2 linked regions of the Macaca mulatta genome follow. The protein of the gene in region 2 binds, or shares a complex with, the protein of the main gene of each other region. Links are inferred from orthologs where the notes say so. Each region holds a gene or a part of one and is shown on either strand. Other genes may lie near its edges. The genes, in order: MED24 and MED12.

Region 1 (9,459 bases), on a different chromosome or scaffold from region 2:
GCCTGGGAGACACAGCGAGACTACGTCTCAAAAAAAAAAAAAAAAAAAAAAAAAAAACCAAACTAGCAGGGCGAGGTGGCTGGCACCTGTGGTCCCAGCTACTCGGGAGGCTGAGGCAGGAGAATGGCGTAAACCCAGGAGGCGGAGCTTGCAGTGAGCTGAGATCTGGCCACTGCACTCCAGCCTGGGCAACAGAGCGAGACTCCGTCTCAAAAAAAAAAAAAAAGAAAGAAATCTGCACTTCTGGCTGGGCGTGGTGGCTCACGCCTATAATCTCAGCACTTTGGGAGGCCAAGGAGGGTGAATCACCTGAGGTCAGGAGTTCGAGACCAGCCTGACCAACATGGAGAAACCCAGTCTCTACTAAAAGTATAAAATTAGGCCGGGCGCGGTGGCTCAAGCCTGTAATCCCAGCACTTTGGGAGGCCGAGGCGGGCGGATCACGAGGTCAGGAGATCGAGACCATCCTGGCTAACACGGTGAAACCCCGTCTCTATGAAAAATACAAGAAAAATTAGCCGGGCGAGGTGGCGTGCGCCTGTAGTCCCAGCTACTCGGGAGGCTGAGGCAGGAGAATGGCGTGAACCCGGCGGGGCGGAGCTTGCAGTGAGCTGAGATCCCGCCACTGCACTCCAGCCTGGGGCACAGAGCAAGACTCCGTCTCAAAAAAAAAAAAAAAACGTATAAAATTAGCGGAACGTAGTGGTATGCGCCTGTATTCCCAGCTACTTGGGAGGCTGAGGCAGGAGAATCACTTGAATCTGGGAGGCGGAGGTTGCAGTAAGCCAAGATCGCACCACACTGCACTCTAGCCTGGCGATGGAGCAAGACTCTGCCTCAATCAATTAATCAATCAACCAATAAAAAATAAGGACAGGCGCAGTGGCTCATGCCTGTAATCCCAACACTGGGAAGTCAAGGCAGGTGGATCACCTGAAGTCAAGAGTTCGAGACCAGGCTGGCCAAAACAGTAAAACCCCATCTCTACTAAAAATACAAAAATTATCCAGGTGTAGTGGTGGGCACCTGTAATTCCAGCTACTCAGGAGGCTGAGGTAGGAGAATAGCTTGAACCTGGGAGGTGGAGGTTGCAGTGAGCCGAGATCAAGCCATTGCACTGCAGCCTGGGCAACAAGAGTGAAACTCCATCTCAATAAACAAACAGGCTTTGTGTTTGATGATTTTTCCCAACTGTAAGCTAGAGTGTTCTGAGCACATTTAAGGTAGGTAGATGGCCGGGCATGGTGGCTCACACCTGCAATCCCAGCAATTTGGGAGGCCAAGGTGGGCAGATCACAAGGTCAGGAGTTCGAGACCAGCCTAGCCAATATAATGAAACCCTGTCTCTACTAAAAATATAAAAATTAGCCAGGCATGGTGGCAGGTACCTGCAGTCCCAGCTACTCGGGAGGCTGAGGCAGGAGAATCACCTGAACTCAGGAGACAGAGGTTGCAGTGAGCTGAGGTCACACCATTGCACTCCAGCCTGGGTGATAGAGCAAGACTCTGTCTCAAAAAAGTGGTAGGTAGATGACCTTTGGCAAGTTATGTGTATTAAGTACATTTTCAACTTATGAGTGGTATATCAGCACATCACCCCATTGTAAGTTGAGGAGCATCCGTACTCTATTCTAACCTTTATCATAAACCCATCTAGTGACTGCTTATTTACATGTCTATATTACCCACTAAATTCTCTGTGTACTGGCATCAGATCTTATTCACAGCTATGTCCCCAGGGGCTAGCACTGTCTGGCACATAAAAGCATTCATGAGGCCGGGCGCGGTAGCTCACACCTGTAATCCCAGCACTTTGGAAGGCTGAGGTGGGCAGATCATGAGGTCAGGAGATCGAGACCATCCTGGCTAACACGGTGAAACCCTGTCTCTACTAAAAAAAAAAAAATACAAAAAATCAGCCGGGCGTGGTGGCAGGCGCCTGTAGTCCCAGCTACTCGGGAGTCTGAGGCAGGAGAACCCAGGAGGCGGAGCTTGCAGTGAGCCAAGATCGCACCACTGCACTCCAGTCCGGGTGACAGAGCGAGACTCCATCTCAAAAAAAAAAAAAAAAAAGGCCGGGCGCAGTGGCTCAAGCCTGTAATCCCAGCACTTTGGGAGGCCGAGATGGGCAGATCACGAGGTCAGGAGATCAAGACCATCCTGGCTAACATGGTGAAACCCCGTCTCTACCAAAAAAGACAAAAAACTAGCCGGGCGAGGTGGCGGGCGCCTGTAGTCCCAGCTACCCGGGAGGCTGAGGCAAGAGAATGGCGGGAACCCGGGAGGCGGAGCTTGCAGTGAGCTGAGATCCGGCCACTACACTCCAGCCTGGGCGACAGAGCAAGACTCCGTCTCAAAAAAAAAAAAAAAAAAAAATTCATGAGTATTTGTTGATAGAACAAGTGAATGTAATCCTATTTCTCTTTTGGTGGTTGTTGTTTTTAAGAGATGGAGTCTTGTTCTGTTGCCCAGGCTGGAGTGCAGTGGCACAATCAGTGCTCACTGTAGCCTCGAACTTCTGGGCTCAAGCAATCCTCCCACCTCCGCTTTCTGAGTAGGCGGGGCCACAGGCCTGTGCTACCTGCTACTACTCCCAGTAGAATAAGTGAATATAATATTCATCACAACAAATGAAGTATTATTATTTTTATGAGAACACTGAAACTCAGTGAAATGATCTGTTCAAACAAATTCATCTAGAAAGCGTAAGCTGACAATTGTAAAACTGCACCCCAAATTTTGTTTTGTTTGTTTCCTGAGACAGGGTCTCACTCTGTTGCTCTGGCTGGAGTGCAGTGGCAGGATCATGGCTCACTGTAGCCTTGACCTCCCAGGGCTTAGGTGATCCTCCCACCTCAGCCTTCCAAGTAGCTGGGACTACAGGGGCACCACCACGAAGGGCTAATTCTTTGTATTTTGGGGTAGAGACTGGGTTTTGCCATGTTACCCAGGCTGGTCTCAAACTCCTGGGCTCAAGCAATCTGCCTGCTTCAGCCTCCCACAATGCTGGGATTACAGTCATGAATCACTGGGGTCCAAATGCACTTCAAGTTTTTTATCCCCAAAACTCTCACTTCTTGGTGGGGGTTTTGGGGGAGCTTACCTGGGAACTAATGGCATACTTCAGGTAGGACAAGATGAGAGGATTGGGGGATGGTCCAATCATGGCCTGCTCTAGTAATGCATCTGCAAGAGGAATAACAAAACACGATTGAGTGATTACAACTTCTCTGGGTTTATCCCTCCCATCTTTCTTTCCCAGTTCACTTGAGACCTGCCAGGTTGAGAATGTCCCAGGTGGCTCCTTTAGGAAAGAATTTCTTCATGTTGATTGCCCACTGGTAGTCACTCCAACGTTCCTTCCAGGCTTGCAAAATGGCTTGCTTCAGGTTGACTACCTTCATGATTTCACTCTGAGCAGGTGGCAGCTGTGACGGCCAACTTTGAGGTGAAAGAAGTGGATCTAAAGAAAAGGACACGGCCGGGCGTGGTGGCTCAAGCCTGTAATCCCAGCACTTTGGGAGGCCGAGACGGGCGGATCACGAGGTCAGGAGATCGAGACCATCCTGGCTAACACGGTGAAACCCCGTCTCTACTAAAAAATACAAAAAACTAGCCGGGCGAGGTGGCGGGCGCCTGTAGTCCCAGCTACTCGGGAGGCTGAGGCAGGAAAATGGCGGGAACCCGGGAGGCGGAGCTTGCAGTGAGCTGAGATCCGGCCACAGCACTCCAGCCTGGGCGACAGAGCGAGACTCTGTCTCAAAAAAAAAAAAAAAAAAAAAAAAAAAAAAGAAAAGGACACGATGTTCGAAGGAGAACCGGGGAAGGCAGAATTAAATAGAAAGAAGATGCGGTGGCCGGGCGCGGTGGCTCAAGCCTGTAATCCCAGCACTTTGGGAGGCCGAGATGGGCGGATCACGAGATCAGGAGATCGAGACCATCCTGACTAACACGGTGAAACCCCGTCTCTACTAAAAATACAAAACTTAGCCGGGCGCGGTGGCGGGCGCCTGTAGTCCCAGCTACTCGGGAGGCTGAGGCAGGAGAATGGCGTAAACCCGGGAGGTGGAGCTTGCAGTGAGCTGAGATCCGGCCACTGCACCCCAGCCTGGGCGGCAGAGCGAGACTCCGCCTCAAAACAAAAAACAAACAAACAAAAAAAAAGAAGATGCGGTAAGATTTAAGCTAGGCAGCGGAATTTGAAAGAAAAAGAGCTAAAGAGATAAGGTAAGATCCTGTCAGGCTTTCTCCTCCTGAACCGCCCTTCCTTAAACTGGGGCACTAAGAAGAAAGTATAGGCCGAGCGCAGTGGCTCGCACCTGTAATCCCAGCACTTTGGGAGGCCAAGGCGGGCGGATCACCTGAGGTCGGGAGTTTGAGATCAGTCTGACCAACATGGAGAAACCTCGTCTCTACTAAAAATACGAAATTAGCCGGGCTTGGTGGCGCATGCCTGTAATCCCAGCTACTCGGGAGGCTGAAGCAGGAGAATCGCTTGAACCCGGGAGGCGGAGGTTGATGGGGTGGGCCGAGATCGCGCCATTGCACTCCAGCCTGGGCAACAAGGACAAAACTTTGTCTCTCAAATAAATAAATATCAAAGGGACTAATAGAGTAAAGAGGGCATCAAGGAGTTAAGCCAGTCCTCGTTGCCTAATTACGCCCTTAGCTCTAAATGCGTCCTTCGGTCACCACTACTCCAAGTCCAGATTTGCTCCCTCATTTCCTCCACCTTCTCCAGCCCTGTAACTATACCTCCCAATTTCCTTTTCATCCACCACCTCCCCAAATTTAAGCCTACCGCACAATCCACTTCTAGGTCGTAGGCATCGCCATTTTGGCACTTGTCAAGAAGTTCACTTTCTATTGGCTGGGAGTAACAAACGCAAACCAATAGAGATGCAGCAAGGAACGTCCCGCTGTCTTCTGGGAATGGTAGTTTTTTGGACTGAAACCGTATTTGTCTGCGCTGGCGAAGAAACTAAGAGACTAGTCTAGTCGGCGCGCATTGTTCCTCTCCTTTAAGGGAGGACATCCAGGAGCTGAGACACTACAGAGACTCAGGGACTCGAGGAAGCTCGAAAGGTCGCTCACAACCCGGCGTCGCCCACGACGTCACTGTCGACCGGCCTTCTCCATCATATTCCGACACCCTTTCTTTCGTTAGCCCCTAGTTAATAGGTGCGGCAAGGGTGTGGCGTTCAGCAATACGGCCTTTCTCTTTTCCTGGGCTCTTTCTTTTCTCCTAAACTCCTGGGGCTTCCAGAGCTATTCTCATTTCCACACCTATATTCTAAAAGCGACACTAAGGTGCCTTACTTGCACACATATCACCACCCCCGAATCTGACAGTCCTATCAGCATCTCCAAGCCCTCCAAACAGCTTGGATACAAGGGAAAGTAAAGGAGAAACTAAGGTGAAGGTGATCAAAATCAAAGGAATTCTGAGAAACTGTCACAGCTAAGAGGGCTAAGGAAACCTGATGACTAAATGTAATGTGATTTTCTGAATGCAATCATGGAAGAGAAAAAGAATACTGGGTAAAAACTAAGGAAATCTAAATAAAGCATGGACTTTAATTAATAATAATGTATCAGTATTAGTTCATTAGTTGTTACAAATGCATCATACTAATGCTAAGATGTTAATTAAAAGAGAAATTGGGTGCAGAATATGTGGGGACCCTCTATTACCTTCCATTTTTTTCCTGTAAATTAAAAACTATTTTCTTAAGTTTCTTGTTGTTGTTGTTGTTGTTGTTTAAATCTTGCTTATCCCAAAGATCCATAAATAATAATATCCAATTATTATGCCCAGGGCCTTGGCCATAGCCTTTCCTTCCCCTAGTGAGAAAGCCAAAAGCAAATGTTACCCACCTCTGGCTCCAATGTCTGAGCCTTCTTATGCATAGCCCTCATCCCTCCCCATACTATGGACTGGTCATCCCTAACATTTACAACCAGGAATAAGAGTAAATTACTCGAGAGGCTGAGGCAGGAGGATCACTTGAGCTCAGGAGTTCAAATCCAGCCTGGGCAACATAATGAGACTCTCAGCTCTACCAAAAAAATAAATAAATAAACATGGAGGCCTTTAGCCAGGGCCCAATATCCTAGTTCACAAGTTCAAGCTCAATCCGTATTCCCCAAAAACGATTCTTTTTTTTTCCTTTTTTTTTTTTTTTTTTTTTTGAGCTCACTGCAATCTCAGCTCACCGCAACCTCTGCCTCCCAGGTTCAAGCGATTCTTCTGCCTCAGCCTCCCAAGTAGCTGGAATTACAGGCGTGTACCACCACGTCAGGCTAATTTTTGTATTTTTAGTAGAGATGGGGTTTCACCATGTTGGTCAGGCTGGTCTCAAAATCCTGACCTCAGGTGATCCACCCACCTCAGCCTTCCAGAGTGCTGGGATTATAGGCATGAGCCACCGTGCCCAGCCTTCGACAACCATTCTTTGCTCACCCTTTGAGTGGCAAAATCAGTCCTTGGGGGGATAAATCTGGAAGAGCAGCCCATTTAAGGCTCTGGAAGTAAAACTGGCCATTTGGGCAGAGAATTACAGCACCCTGGGTGTCTGGAGCACGGTCTAGACAGGGAGTCAAGGACTTCTGTTCCAAAGGGGAGAGTGTGGCTGAAGGAGGGTCAGATCATGTCCCTCTGCGGTTGGTACTGCCTATGGCTTTTCTTCCTCCCCATACATTCAATCCACACCCCTCCCTTAGGCTCCCTTTGTGCCTGCCCAAGGGACACCACTGGGGAATAGTGTGTATACAAAACAGCTGCCAAATATATGTTGCCAAAGCTTCTAAAGCAGGAAGGAGGGAGAATATGGATTCCTCACCTCACCTTCCATATGGCCCCCGGCCACTCCACTCATACTTGAGACTGCCACAAACCCTGCTTCTCCTCAGTTTCTCATGTATCTGACTTCCCCTCTTCTCCCAGCCCCTCACTCTACCTTTGCCTGCTCCCCTGCTGTCATTCTGTGCTTGTTGCCGCATCCTAAGGCCCTCCACCTGGAGCCATTCCTGGATCATCCTGGAGCCCCTGTCACATACCTTAGAGCCCAAACTGCTTCTCTTGGAGAGAAGCTGTCAACTGTGTGTCCAGTCCACACAGGACTGGGAACTATTTGGGCCCTGAGGATGGTGATATTTTGAGCTCAAACTATTCCCTCTGGCAGGGAGCCTGGCAGATTTCTAGGGAGGTGCCTCCTCCCCACTTCGCAGTGACAGGGAGGCGGCTTTTGTAGTCAGGCCATCTGCCTTCTCTGTCTCCCCACCTCCCACCAGCAGCCCTTTCTCTAGGCTTGGCAAGGTTTCCCCAAAGGCTGGACTCCTATGTACAAGGGCTCCCTTAGTTCTGGGCAAGGACCATTTTTAATTTATCCCTTTTGACCTCCCTGCCTCTCCAGTCTGTAAACATCAGAGGCAACCTTTCCTATACCACCTCTTCCTTCCACACCACAATATCTTCCTAGGGACCCCCTTGGGCTCTCTGGCTCACTGCAAGCACAGGACTCCATGATAATCCTCCAAAGGGTGAAGAGAGATGCTAACATTTCCTTTGGGTGTACGAATAAATAGCCCCCCAGCCAGGCGCAGTAGCTCACGCCTGTAATCCCAGCACTTAGGGAGGCCAAGGCAGGCAGATCACCTGGGGTTGGGAGTTCAAGACCAGCCTGACCAACATGGAGAAACTGTATCTACTAAAAATACAAAATTAGCCGGGCATGGTGGCGCATGCCTGTAATCCCAGCTGCTCGGGAGGTGGAGGTAGGAGAATTGCTTGAACCCAGGAGGTAGGAGAATTGCTTGAACCCAGGAGGCAGAAGTTGCTGTAAGCCGAGATTGCACCATTGCACTCCAACCTGGGCAACAAGAGCGAAATTCTGTCTTAAAAAAAAAAAAAAATAGCCCCCCCAGCCCATCTCAAAGCCCCGTTCTACTTACCCCACTTTCTTTTGCTGTTCATTTCCTCTCAACAGGGACAGGGGCTGAGCTCCCACCTCTGCCCTCCTAGTCCCGAGCCCCAACCTCTTTGTTCATCTTGTTGGCTACCTTGGCTAAAGAGAGAAGAGGGGCAGGTGGAAGTCAACCAGTCAGAGTGACATGGCAACCCTGGAGAAGTGTCAGAAAAGCAGCTAGGCCAGAGTGGGGTAAGAGGTGGCGAGGAACAGGGTTCTGGGTACCCAAGGGGAAGGGAACATTCCTTATCTATCTAGGCTAGAAAACAGTATAAAGAAAAGTGGCAAGAGTCCAGACCCAAAAACCCAGAAACACCGAAATCGTTGGTAAGCATACAAGGCACAGAGGGTGTCAGCTTCCCTTCTCTCTATAGGGAAACTGAGTCATTCCTTTTCCTTAAGTGGAACATTTTCCTCTGGAAGCTTGCCTGGGTCCCCCCACTATGGGCAGCAGGTGGATGGGAAAAGAAAGTCAGTCACTCCCACACACTTATACACAGCTGGCTCCAAACCAGTTTCCTCCTCATACCAGTCACCAAATCAAAATCCCTGCTTTCCGTCTATCTGGGGGAGGGGATGACGGGAAAGAGGCCTGTAAGGTGGCTGCACCTCAGGAACTCAGGGACAACCCCTGGATCCCCCGCAGTTGCCTGTCTCTGTCTTCCCGCTGCCCCAGGAGAGTGAAAGGCAGAATTTGAATCAACTCTTGGAATAGCTTCCCCTCTAACACCCTGGAGGATGCCTTCCCCCTCCATACTCCCAGCACAGAGAAGAGAGGTGCTGTGATCCTGAGGCCCAGACCGGACAGTGGCTGGGAAGGGAGGCCAGCCTGCCATTTCCTTTGCATGGCCCCTCCCTCCAGGCCCTGACAGGTGCTCTGCTTCATACTTTTGGCTTCCATATCATACTGCCCTATCCCCTCCTTTAACTGGAGGGGGAGAGCTGCAGAAAAGTAAGCCCCAAACTCTGATGGTAAAGGAGACTTCCCTGCTCCCCCTCCTCTCCTCTCTCCTGTTGACAAAGACTCTACCAGAAGCTGGGAGCATTTGGGGAATCTAATACTTGGCACATATTAAATGCTTTAAAAAAAAAAAAAGTGTCAGGCTGGGTGCGGTGGCTCACGCCTGTAATTCTAGCACTTTGGGAGGCCGAGGTGTGCAGATCACAAGGTCAGGGGATCAAGACCATCCTGGCTAACACGGTGAAAGCCCATCTCTACTAAAAATACAAAAATTAGCTGGGCGTTGTGGTGGGCGCCTGTAGTCCCAGCTACTCGGGAGACTGAGGCAGGAGAATGGCGTGAACCCGGGAGGTGAGCTTTCAGTGAGCCAAGATTGCGCCACTACACTCCAGCCTGGGCAACAGAGCGAGACTCCATTTAAAAAAAAAAAAAAGTCAGATTAATGAATAAAAGTAGGAGAAACCCTGGAAGACAGCCTGGAAAAGGTGTCAGCTTCTTTTTCCATTTCTCATTTCAGCTACCAAAAGCAAG
Region 2 (8,666 bases):
CCTTCTGAAGGTGGTCTCTCTGACCTTTCGGGAGGAGGGGAGGGAGAGAAGTATATTTCTGTCCCATAGGGCAGGATTTGGGGTGTTTCTGCCTCTGTGGGCCCAGGGTGGGTCTCCACACAGTGTTCCAATCTCACTCTGCCCTCCCTATCTCCCACCCGTGAACCACAGGGGATGCGGAACTGAAAGGTTCAGGCTTCACTGTGACAGGAGGAACAGAAGAACTTCCAGAGGAGGAGGGAGGAGGTGGCAGTGGTGGTCGGAGGCAGGGTGGCCGCAACATCTCTGTGGAGACAGCCAGTCTGGATGTCTATGCCAAGTACGTGCTGCGCAGCATCTGCCAACAGGTCAGTCTCACCTTCCTCTCACACCTCCTAAATGCCTCTGTGTAATACAGTCCTGTTTCCAGCCCATGATCACACCACCTCCCTACTATACATTGTGTTCCTTACCAACTCCAGCCCATCCCCCATATTCCTAACCCCCTCACTGGTTGCTCCCAGTCCCTGATTGTCAGCTTCCTCAGGAATGGGTAGGAGAACGTTGCCTTAAGTCGCTGTGTGAGGACAGCAATGACCTGCAAGACCCAGTGTTGAGTAGTGCCCAGGCGCAGCGCCTCATGCAGCTCATCTGCTACCCACATCGACTGCTGGACAATGAGGATGGGGAAAACCCCCAGCGGCAGCGCATAAAGCGCATTCTCCAGGTAGGCCAAGGCTGTGGGGGCCGCAGAGGAAGTAGTGGGCCCAATCTGGGGAGAAACAATAGGAACCTTGAGAAAAGGAGAGGGGGAGTTAAGTAGAGAGGAAGACAGACAAGGATATAGTGGAGGGGAGAGGTAGCGAGAGAAACACGGCTCCAGCATGGGCTGAGGAGTAAGTCCAATAGGGTCTAGACTCCAGTGTAAGAGTATTAGGTGAGGGCATAGCTATCGGGAATGAATCTAGCTTATCAATGGGAAGCATAGCATCTGGGAGGCCTAGGCGTGGGCCTTGTATATTTGGCATTTTGGCCATGGCTCAGAACTGAATAGTAATGGCTACTACTTGCTGAGCATGTGTTTTGTGCCAGGTACTGTGCTAGGTACTCTGCACACATTTCCTCATTTAATCTTTATGACCCTATGAAGTAGATGAGCCTCCCTGTTTGACCGATGAGGAAACTGAGGCTTGAAGAGGTTAAGTAACTTGTCTAAGGTCACATAGCTGATAAGTTTAGAGTCAATATGTGAACCCAGACATGTCTGTGCACTTTCCACTTCACATTGCCTCACACCTTCAGATGACCAGAGAGTGGAAAAATGAAGCCATTGAGGAAAAGCTAAAGGAATAAGGTCTCTTCAGCCCAGGAGAGACAGTGTCGAAGAGAGATTAGCTAACAGTAGCCTTCTGGTCTCTATAGGACTTTGAGAGATTGTCTTATAAAGGTCCTGTCAGGGACTTTGAGCAGTTGGTCTAAAACGAGAGAAGCAGGCTTCGACTTTAACATCAAGGATTTCAAGGTTAAGCATTAAGCAGAACTTCCTGATACGAAGGGATGGGAAAGATGTGAAATCTTTCCTGAACTGTTTTAAAAATTGGAAAGATTTTCAACTAGTTTGGACTATTTAAATGTAGTCTTTTTTTTTTTTTTTTTTTTTGAGACGGAGTCTTGCTCTTGTCACCCAGGCTGGAGTGCAGTGGCGCGATCTCAGCTCACTGCAACCTCTGCCTCCCAAGTTCAAGCGATTGTCCTGCCTCAGCCTCCTGAGTAACTGGGATTACAGGCGCCCACCACCACGCCCGGCTAATTTTTGTATTTTTAGTAGAGATGGGGTTTTGCCATGTTGGCCAGGCTGATCTCGAACTCCTAACCTCAGGTGATCCGCCTGCCTCAGCCTCCCTAAATGTAGTCTTTCTTAAAGATGGGGACATAGAGGTCCCTTTCAGACCTCCAGGAGTCTGTGATTCAATGTTGCAGGAGAACAGGAATTGGCCTCAGATTGGTGGGTAGCTGGGGGTAACACGATGATTACTAGCCTGGGTGTGGGGCCTCTATCACAGAACTTGGACCAGTGGACCATGCGCCAGTCTTCCCTGGAGCTGCAGCTCATGATCAAGCAGACCCCTAACAATGTGAGTAGTGCCTGGACCCTCCCTTTCCTGTGTTCACGTTCAGCTCCATGTGTCAGGGAGGCGGTCCACCACAGAAGAACCTAGATCCTACCCTTGGGCTCTTGAGCTGAGAGATAAGAGGGGATGGGAAAATGGTGAACAAGTGGAGCTGATGATAAGGGAAATGGGTTGAGAGTGTTGGAGCTCTGAGCTGTGGGGAAGCTTGGTGGTGGTGGTGGTGGAGCCTGTTTATCTGGCCATAGATGTAAGGAGGTATGTAAAGGAGAAGACAATGAGGAATTGGAGAAATACGGAGGTACTAGAGGACATGAGTCCCAACAGAGTTGGGTTCCTGTCTCCCCATCAACCTCCGCCAGTGCTGTCCTTCTCCCTCATCTCCCATCTCTCCTACCATCTGCTTTCCTTCACCCTTAGCTACCTATTTTAGCACTTCTGTGCCTTTCATCCTCCCCAGGAGATGAACTCCCTCTTGGAGAACATTGCCAAGGCCACAATCGAGGTTTTCCAACAGTCAGCAGAGACAGGGTCATCTTCTGGAAGTACTGCAAGCAACATGCCCAGCAGCAGCAAGACCAAGCCTGTGCTCAGGTCGGATAGAAACATGTTAGGACCCATCCCCTTAGGAATTTCTCTGCTGGTAGCATGAGTGATGTCAGATGCGTGGAGATACCAGCATGTCCATCAGGGAAAGGAGAGGATGGATTGTTCCAGCCTTGCCTGGCTCCCCTGTGACCCTGTGTCCTCTGTTCTCCAGCTCTCTAGAGCGCTCTGGTGTATGGCTGGTGGCCCCCCTTATTGCTAAACTGCCCACCTCAGTCCAGGGACATGTGTTAAAGGCTGCTGGGGAGGAATTGGAGAAGGGTCAGCACCTGGGTTCCTCTTCACGCAAAGAACGTGATCGACAAAAGCAGAAGAGGTAAAGGGGCTTAGGGAGTGGACCAAGATTGAGAGGTAGAAAGGAGAAAAGGCAGGCCTGGGGAAGAATAAAATTGGGGCTAAGGAGAAGCATCATAGGAAAGTGGAAAATCAGAGGATAAGAGTGGGCATGGCTGAGCAAGAGGCTAGGTCTTAGGAGAGTAGAGTCTGGAGAATGAGGTTGGAAGTTGATTCCCAACCCACAGTCTCCCTTTTCTCCTCTTCTCTCCTCTCCTCTTCTTCTCTTCTCTTCTCTTCTCTTCTCTTCTCTTCTCTTCTCTTCTCTTCTCTCTCTTGTCTCTAGCATGTCCCTGTTGAGCCAGCAGCCCTTCTTATCACTGGTACTAACATGTCTGAAAGGGCAGGATGAACAACGCGAGGGACTCCTTACCTCCCTCTACAGCCAGGTGCACCAGGTACGGATCTCTGGGCCATGGAGGTGGGCAGGAGGGCAGGGAAGGATGCACCTAAGGGGTTACTCTGTACTTGGAAACTTCAGTACTTTCTGATAAACATATTGGCTGTTGTGAGATGGAAACACGAAGATCCCTGAACTGCATATTTTATTTGTTTCTATTCTAGATTGTGAATAATTGGCGAGATGACCAGTACTTAGATGATTGCAAACCAAAGCAGCTTATGCATGAGGCACTCAAACTGCGGCTCAACCTGGTGAGAAGGCCAGCTAGGGAAAGAAGGAAGAGGGTAGGGCTAGAAATGCAGAGCGCAAAAGCCTCAGGTTGGGGAGAATGGGGGTAAGGATAGAAGCCCCAGGTTATTCTGAGTCTTGAAGTTTTTTTTGTTTTGTTTTGTTTTGTTTTGTTTTTGGAGTCGGAGTCTCGCTCTGTCACCCAAGCTGGAGTGCAGTGGCACCATCTCAGCTCACTGCAACCTCCACCTCCCGGGTTCAAGTGATTCTCAAGTCTCAACTTCCTGAGTAGCTGGGACTACAGGTGTGCGCCACCACACCTGGCTAATTTTTGTATTTTTCATAGAGATGGGGTTTCACCATGCTGGCCAGGCTGGTCTTGAACTCTTGACTTCAAATGATCCGTCCATCTCAGCCTCCCAAAGTGCTGAGATTATAGGCATGAGCCACCGTGCCCGGCCTGAGTCTTGAAGTATTAACCGTGTTCTCTGAAAGAATGCAGGGACTGAAAGTGGTTAAGGGGGCTGTATCACTGTGGTCATGGTCCAATAGATTATGTACCCTGGATCCTTGCAGGGACTCTGCCTCAGTATCCTAGATTCTGACTGGGCCCTAGAAGCACTGGAAACCCATTGTAGAATGTTGAATGGAATCCTGGAAATCATTCAGTCCAACTCCCATCACTTTCTAAGTATGGAAACAGAGGCCCAGAGATGTCAAGAATTCCCTCATTGTCTCGAGATCATATAGTAAATCATAGGTTCAACTCAAGCATGAACTCAGGCGTCCCAACTCAGATTTGAACTAAGCTTTCCTTAAACTCTGGCCTTGTCCCTGAGCCATCTGACTGACTTGTTGTGGCCCTGGCAGGTTGGGGGCATGTTTGACACGGTGCAGCGCAGCACCCAGCAGACCACGGAGTGGGCCATGCTCCTCCTGGAGATCATCATCAGCGGCACTGTCGACATGCAGTCCAACAAGTAAAGCATCCCCACCTGCTCCCTGCAGTTTCATACCCAAGAGGCTCCCCTTACTCCCACGTCAGGTGCACCCACTGAGATTGGTATGGCTGTTACTGTGGACTCCATGGCCCTGGGCTCCCCATATGGTTTTGGTGCCCTCGGGATGACATATTAAGCACCTCTCCCTGTTTGTGTCCTCTGCTGAGGCCTTTTTCTATCTTCACCTCTTTCTTCTCTGGTTTTCTCTCTGGCTTCCTGTCTCAGTGAGCTCTTCACTACTGTGTTGGACATGCTGAGCGTGCTCATCAATGGGACATTGGCTGCAGACATGTCTAGCATCTCCCAAGGTAGCATGGAGGAAAACAAGCGTGCATACATGAACCTGGCAAAGAAGCTACAGGTGAGCAGAGGAGGCAGGGACAAGGATTGCGGGAACCGGAATCTGCTGTCCAGCCTCAGGAACTTGCTTCTGGCTTGAGCCCTCTGCCTTTCCTTCTCATGTCTATCTTTTCTTTGTTACTCATGCCATGAGCATTTACTGAGTGGGGGTCTTCTCTGTGCCAAGTTCTGTGCTGTCCCCTGAGACTTCCCATCCCTGTTTTCTGTATCTCTGAACTCTTGTCCCATCTTCCTGTGCCTGCAGAAGGAGTTGGGGGAACGCCAGTCAGACAGTCTGGAAAAGGTTCGCCAGCTGCTGCCACTGCCCAAGCAGACCCGAGATGTCATCACGTGTGAGCCACAGGGCTCCCTTATTGATACCAAGGGCAACAAGATTGCTGGCTTCGATTCCATCTTCAAGAAGGAGGCATGTTCCATTGTCTGCCCATGTCCCTTGCCTTTTTTCCCCTTTGGGCAAGAACTTTCCCTGCATCAGCTTTGTAGCTCCAACAGACTCATCAGATTCAGGAGCCCATCCAGTCTCTGCCAGTGAACACCATCTCGGGGGTTTTCAGCAAATCACTTAACTTTCCTTACATTTCATCTCCATCTCTGGAGTCCCACCCTCTTTCCTTCACCCTGCCCTCACCTTTTAACATACCACCCATTTCTCAATACCCTAACCTCCTCTTTCCTCTGCTCCACCTGCCTCATGTCCTACCCCACCCATCTATCTGGCCGACAGCCTGTATCTCTTTTATTTCTGTGTTTCTCTCCCTACACCCACCCATCTCGGCACAGTTTTATCTTTTCCCTCTCTGTCAGTTGCGTATTTGTTGAGTAACCATAATTATTGTGTATAGTTTAAAACCCAAAGTCTAACTCCTTCATATATACATTCTCTTCATCTGTCTTCCTAGTCCATCTGTCTCTTTTCCTCTGTCTCTGTCTCTCTCCGTGTCTGACTCGTTTGCCTTTCTTTGTCTCTCCACCTTTTTGTCTCTCTTCCTGTTTCTCTCTCCCTCTCTGACTCTGTCTTTCTCTGCCTGCCTAAAGGCAGAATCTCTCCCTGCCTTCCTCTCTCTCTTTCTCTGCCTTCCTTTTTCTGTCTGCCTCTGAATGTCAATCCCTCTCCCTCCCCACTTCCTCTCTGGCTTTCTCCCCAACCCCTTTCTCTCCCGGTCTCGGCTTCTCTCCCCACACGCCCGCCGCCCGCCCCGTTCATTCGTCTCCTCTCCTGGTCCTGGCTGGCTTCATCTTGCGTCTCCATACCTCTCCCTGTCCCCCACCCTTCACTCTCTCCCCGCATAACTCTTCTGCATGTATGTGTGTATCCGTGTCTGTCTGTTTCTTACCATCTCTCTTGAATCTACCTATGACTTTCTACCCACTCCTACAAGTGCTTGCGGTCTCTCTTGTGTTTTCTAAGTCCCAACAGCTTATTGTTTTTCATTTTCTGGAGCAGGGTCTACAGGTTTCCACCAAACAGAAGATCTCGCCCTGGGATCTTTTTGAGGGGTTGAAGCCGTCAGCACCGCTGTCTTGGGGCTGGTTTGGAACAGTGCGGGTGGACCGGCGAGTGGCTCGAGGAGAGGAGCAGCAGCGGTTGCTGCTCTACCACACACACCTGAGGCCCCGGCCCCGCGCCTATTACCTGGAGCCGCTGCCACTGCCCCCAGAAGATGAGGAGCCCCCTGCTCCTACCCTGCTAGAGCCTGAGAAAAAGGCTCCAGAGCCCCCCAAAACTGACAAACCGGGGGCTGCTCCACCCAGTACTGAGGAACGCAAGAAGAAGTCCACCAAGGGCAAGAAACGCAGCCAGCCAGCTGCCAAGACAGAGGTGAGCGTCTCCCCCGTGACAGTTCTCCCACAGCCTCTTACTTCATGACGCTCCAGTTTCTGGTTTGTGGGAGGGGTGGGGGCGCATAAGGAAGGGGTGCCATTAGAATCATAATAAAAATTAACCATGTACAAATCCAGCTCCTCTTTACCTCATTCTCCCCCAGCTCCCCGACCCCACTCAGCTACAACCCACTCACCCTCTTCTTCTGTCACTCACACAGGACTATGGAATGGGCCCGGGTCGGAGCGGCCCTTATGGTGTGACAGTGCCTCCAGACCTCCTGCACCACCCAAACCCTGGTTCCATAACCCACCTTAATTACAGGCAAGGCTCCATAGGCCTGTACACCCAGAACCAGCCACTACCTGCAGGTGAGTGCCAGCCACTAGGAATGCTGGAGGGACCTAGGTGTATACTCCCCCTGCCCAAAGGGTGATGCCGTTCCCCTGAGGAGCTATGGATGTCAAGGACACTGAGCAAGAGACAGAGGGATGAGGAACCTAGAGGTCAGCCCACTCTCCTTTCCAGGTGGCCCTCGTGTGGACCCGTACCGCCCTGTGCGCTTACCAATGCAGAAGCTGCCCACCCGACCGACTTACCCTGGAGTGCTGCCCACAACCATGACTGGCGTCATGGGCCTAGAACCCTCCTCTTATAAGACCTCTGTGTACCGGCAGCAGCAACCTGCGGTGCCCCAAGGACAGCGCCTTCGCCAACAGCTCCAGGCAAAGATAGTGAGAGGGGCAGTAGGGAGGGCTGTCAGGGAGAGGGGCTTTTGAGGGTCACAGGACTGAGGAGACACGGGATCTTCACAAGGACACTCAGAGCAGGAGACACAAGAGATGAGATGGCAGCAAGCATTTCCTGAGTTTGAGTTGTTCTCTTCTCTCCCTTTAGCAGAGTCAGGGCATGTTGGGACAGTCATCTGTCCATCAGATGACTCCCAGCTCTTCCTACGGTTTGCAGACTTCCCAGGTAAGAGCCTGGGATTGTGAGACTCGGGGGATGAGGCAAGCTGCTTTGCATACTCTCAGCCCTGATTCCCTCTCTCCTCCTTCCCTCCAGGGCTATACTCCTTATGTTTCTCATGTGGGATTGCAGCAACACACAGGCCCTGCAGGTACCATGGTGCCCCCCAGCTACTCCAGCCAGCCTTACCAGAGCACCCACCCTTCTACCAATCCTACTCTTGTAGATCCTACCCGCCACCTGCAACAGCGGCCCAGTGGCTATGTGCACCAGCAGGCCCCCACCTATGGACATGGACTGACCTCCACTCAAAGGTACCCAAAGTAGTGGTGAGCTAGGAAGAGATGCAGAGGTATAAGGGAGCATTTGACTTGGGAAAGCCCGTGCCTGAAGGTGATGGGACTGGTCAGAACTTTTGGAGACGTCAAGAATACTTATCTGGCCACATAGCCCATAACCACAGAAGTCTCGAGCTGGAAGGGACCCTGGAGACCAATAGTTTCATGTGTACTTCCTTAACAGTTCTTTGAGGCCCAGAGAGGGGAAATTGTTTATCTGACTCATGGAAAAATCTGGGCTGTGTGGTAGCTCACACTGGTAGTCCCAGCACTTGGGGGCCCAAGGTGGGAGAATCAGTTGAGTCCAGGAATTCGAGGCCAGCCTGGGCAACATAGGGAGATCCCATCTCTAAAAAAAAAAAAAAAACATATTTTTTTGAAACAGAGTCTCACTCCAGTTGCCCAGGCTGGAGTGTCGTGGCATGATCATGGCTCACTGCAGCCTCGACCTCCCAGGCTCAGGTGACCCTCCTACCTCGGCCTCCCAAGTAGCTGGAA

What was found.
Region 1: MED12 (region 2) and MED24 share a complex: the UniProt entries of both Homo sapiens proteins name them as parts of the mediator complex. The link is inferred for Macaca mulatta from reciprocal best matches to the Homo sapiens genes MED12 and MED24.

Annotation. Positions count from the first base shown.
Region 1 is NC_133421.1:64,408,515-64,417,973, forward strand, and holds the start of MED24 (mediator of RNA polymerase II transcription subunit 24), read right to left. Parts: upstream 4,850-9,459; 5' UTR 4,802-4,849; intron 4,555-4,801; exon of another isoform or gene 4,362-4,554; intron 4,215-4,361; exon of another isoform or gene 3,464-4,214; 5' UTR 3,405-3,463; coding exon 3,275-3,404; intron 3,187-3,274; coding exon 3,104-3,186; intron 63-3,103; exon of another isoform or gene 1-62. UniProt on the Homo sapiens protein: Component of the Mediator complex, a coactivator involved in the regulated transcription of nearly all RNA polymerase II-dependent genes.
Region 2 is NC_133426.1:77,594,303-77,602,968, forward strand, and holds part of MED12 (mediator of RNA polymerase II transcription subunit 12), read left to right. Parts: intron 1-171; coding exon 172-347; intron 348-526; coding exon 527-706; intron 707-2,042; coding exon 2,043-2,114; intron 2,115-2,568; coding exon 2,569-2,702; intron 2,703-2,868; coding exon 2,869-3,030; intron 3,031-3,333; coding exon 3,334-3,445; intron 3,446-3,611; coding exon 3,612-3,701; intron 3,702-4,548; coding exon 4,549-4,658; intron 4,659-4,904; coding exon 4,905-5,040; intron 5,041-5,283; coding exon 5,284-5,445; intron 5,446-6,483; coding exon 6,484-6,858; intron 6,859-7,081; coding exon 7,082-7,232; intron 7,233-7,389; coding exon 7,390-7,595; intron 7,596-7,758; coding exon 7,759-7,836; intron 7,837-7,926; coding exon 7,927-8,144; intron 8,145-8,666. UniProt on the Homo sapiens protein: Component of the Mediator complex, a coactivator involved in the regulated transcription of nearly all RNA polymerase II-dependent genes.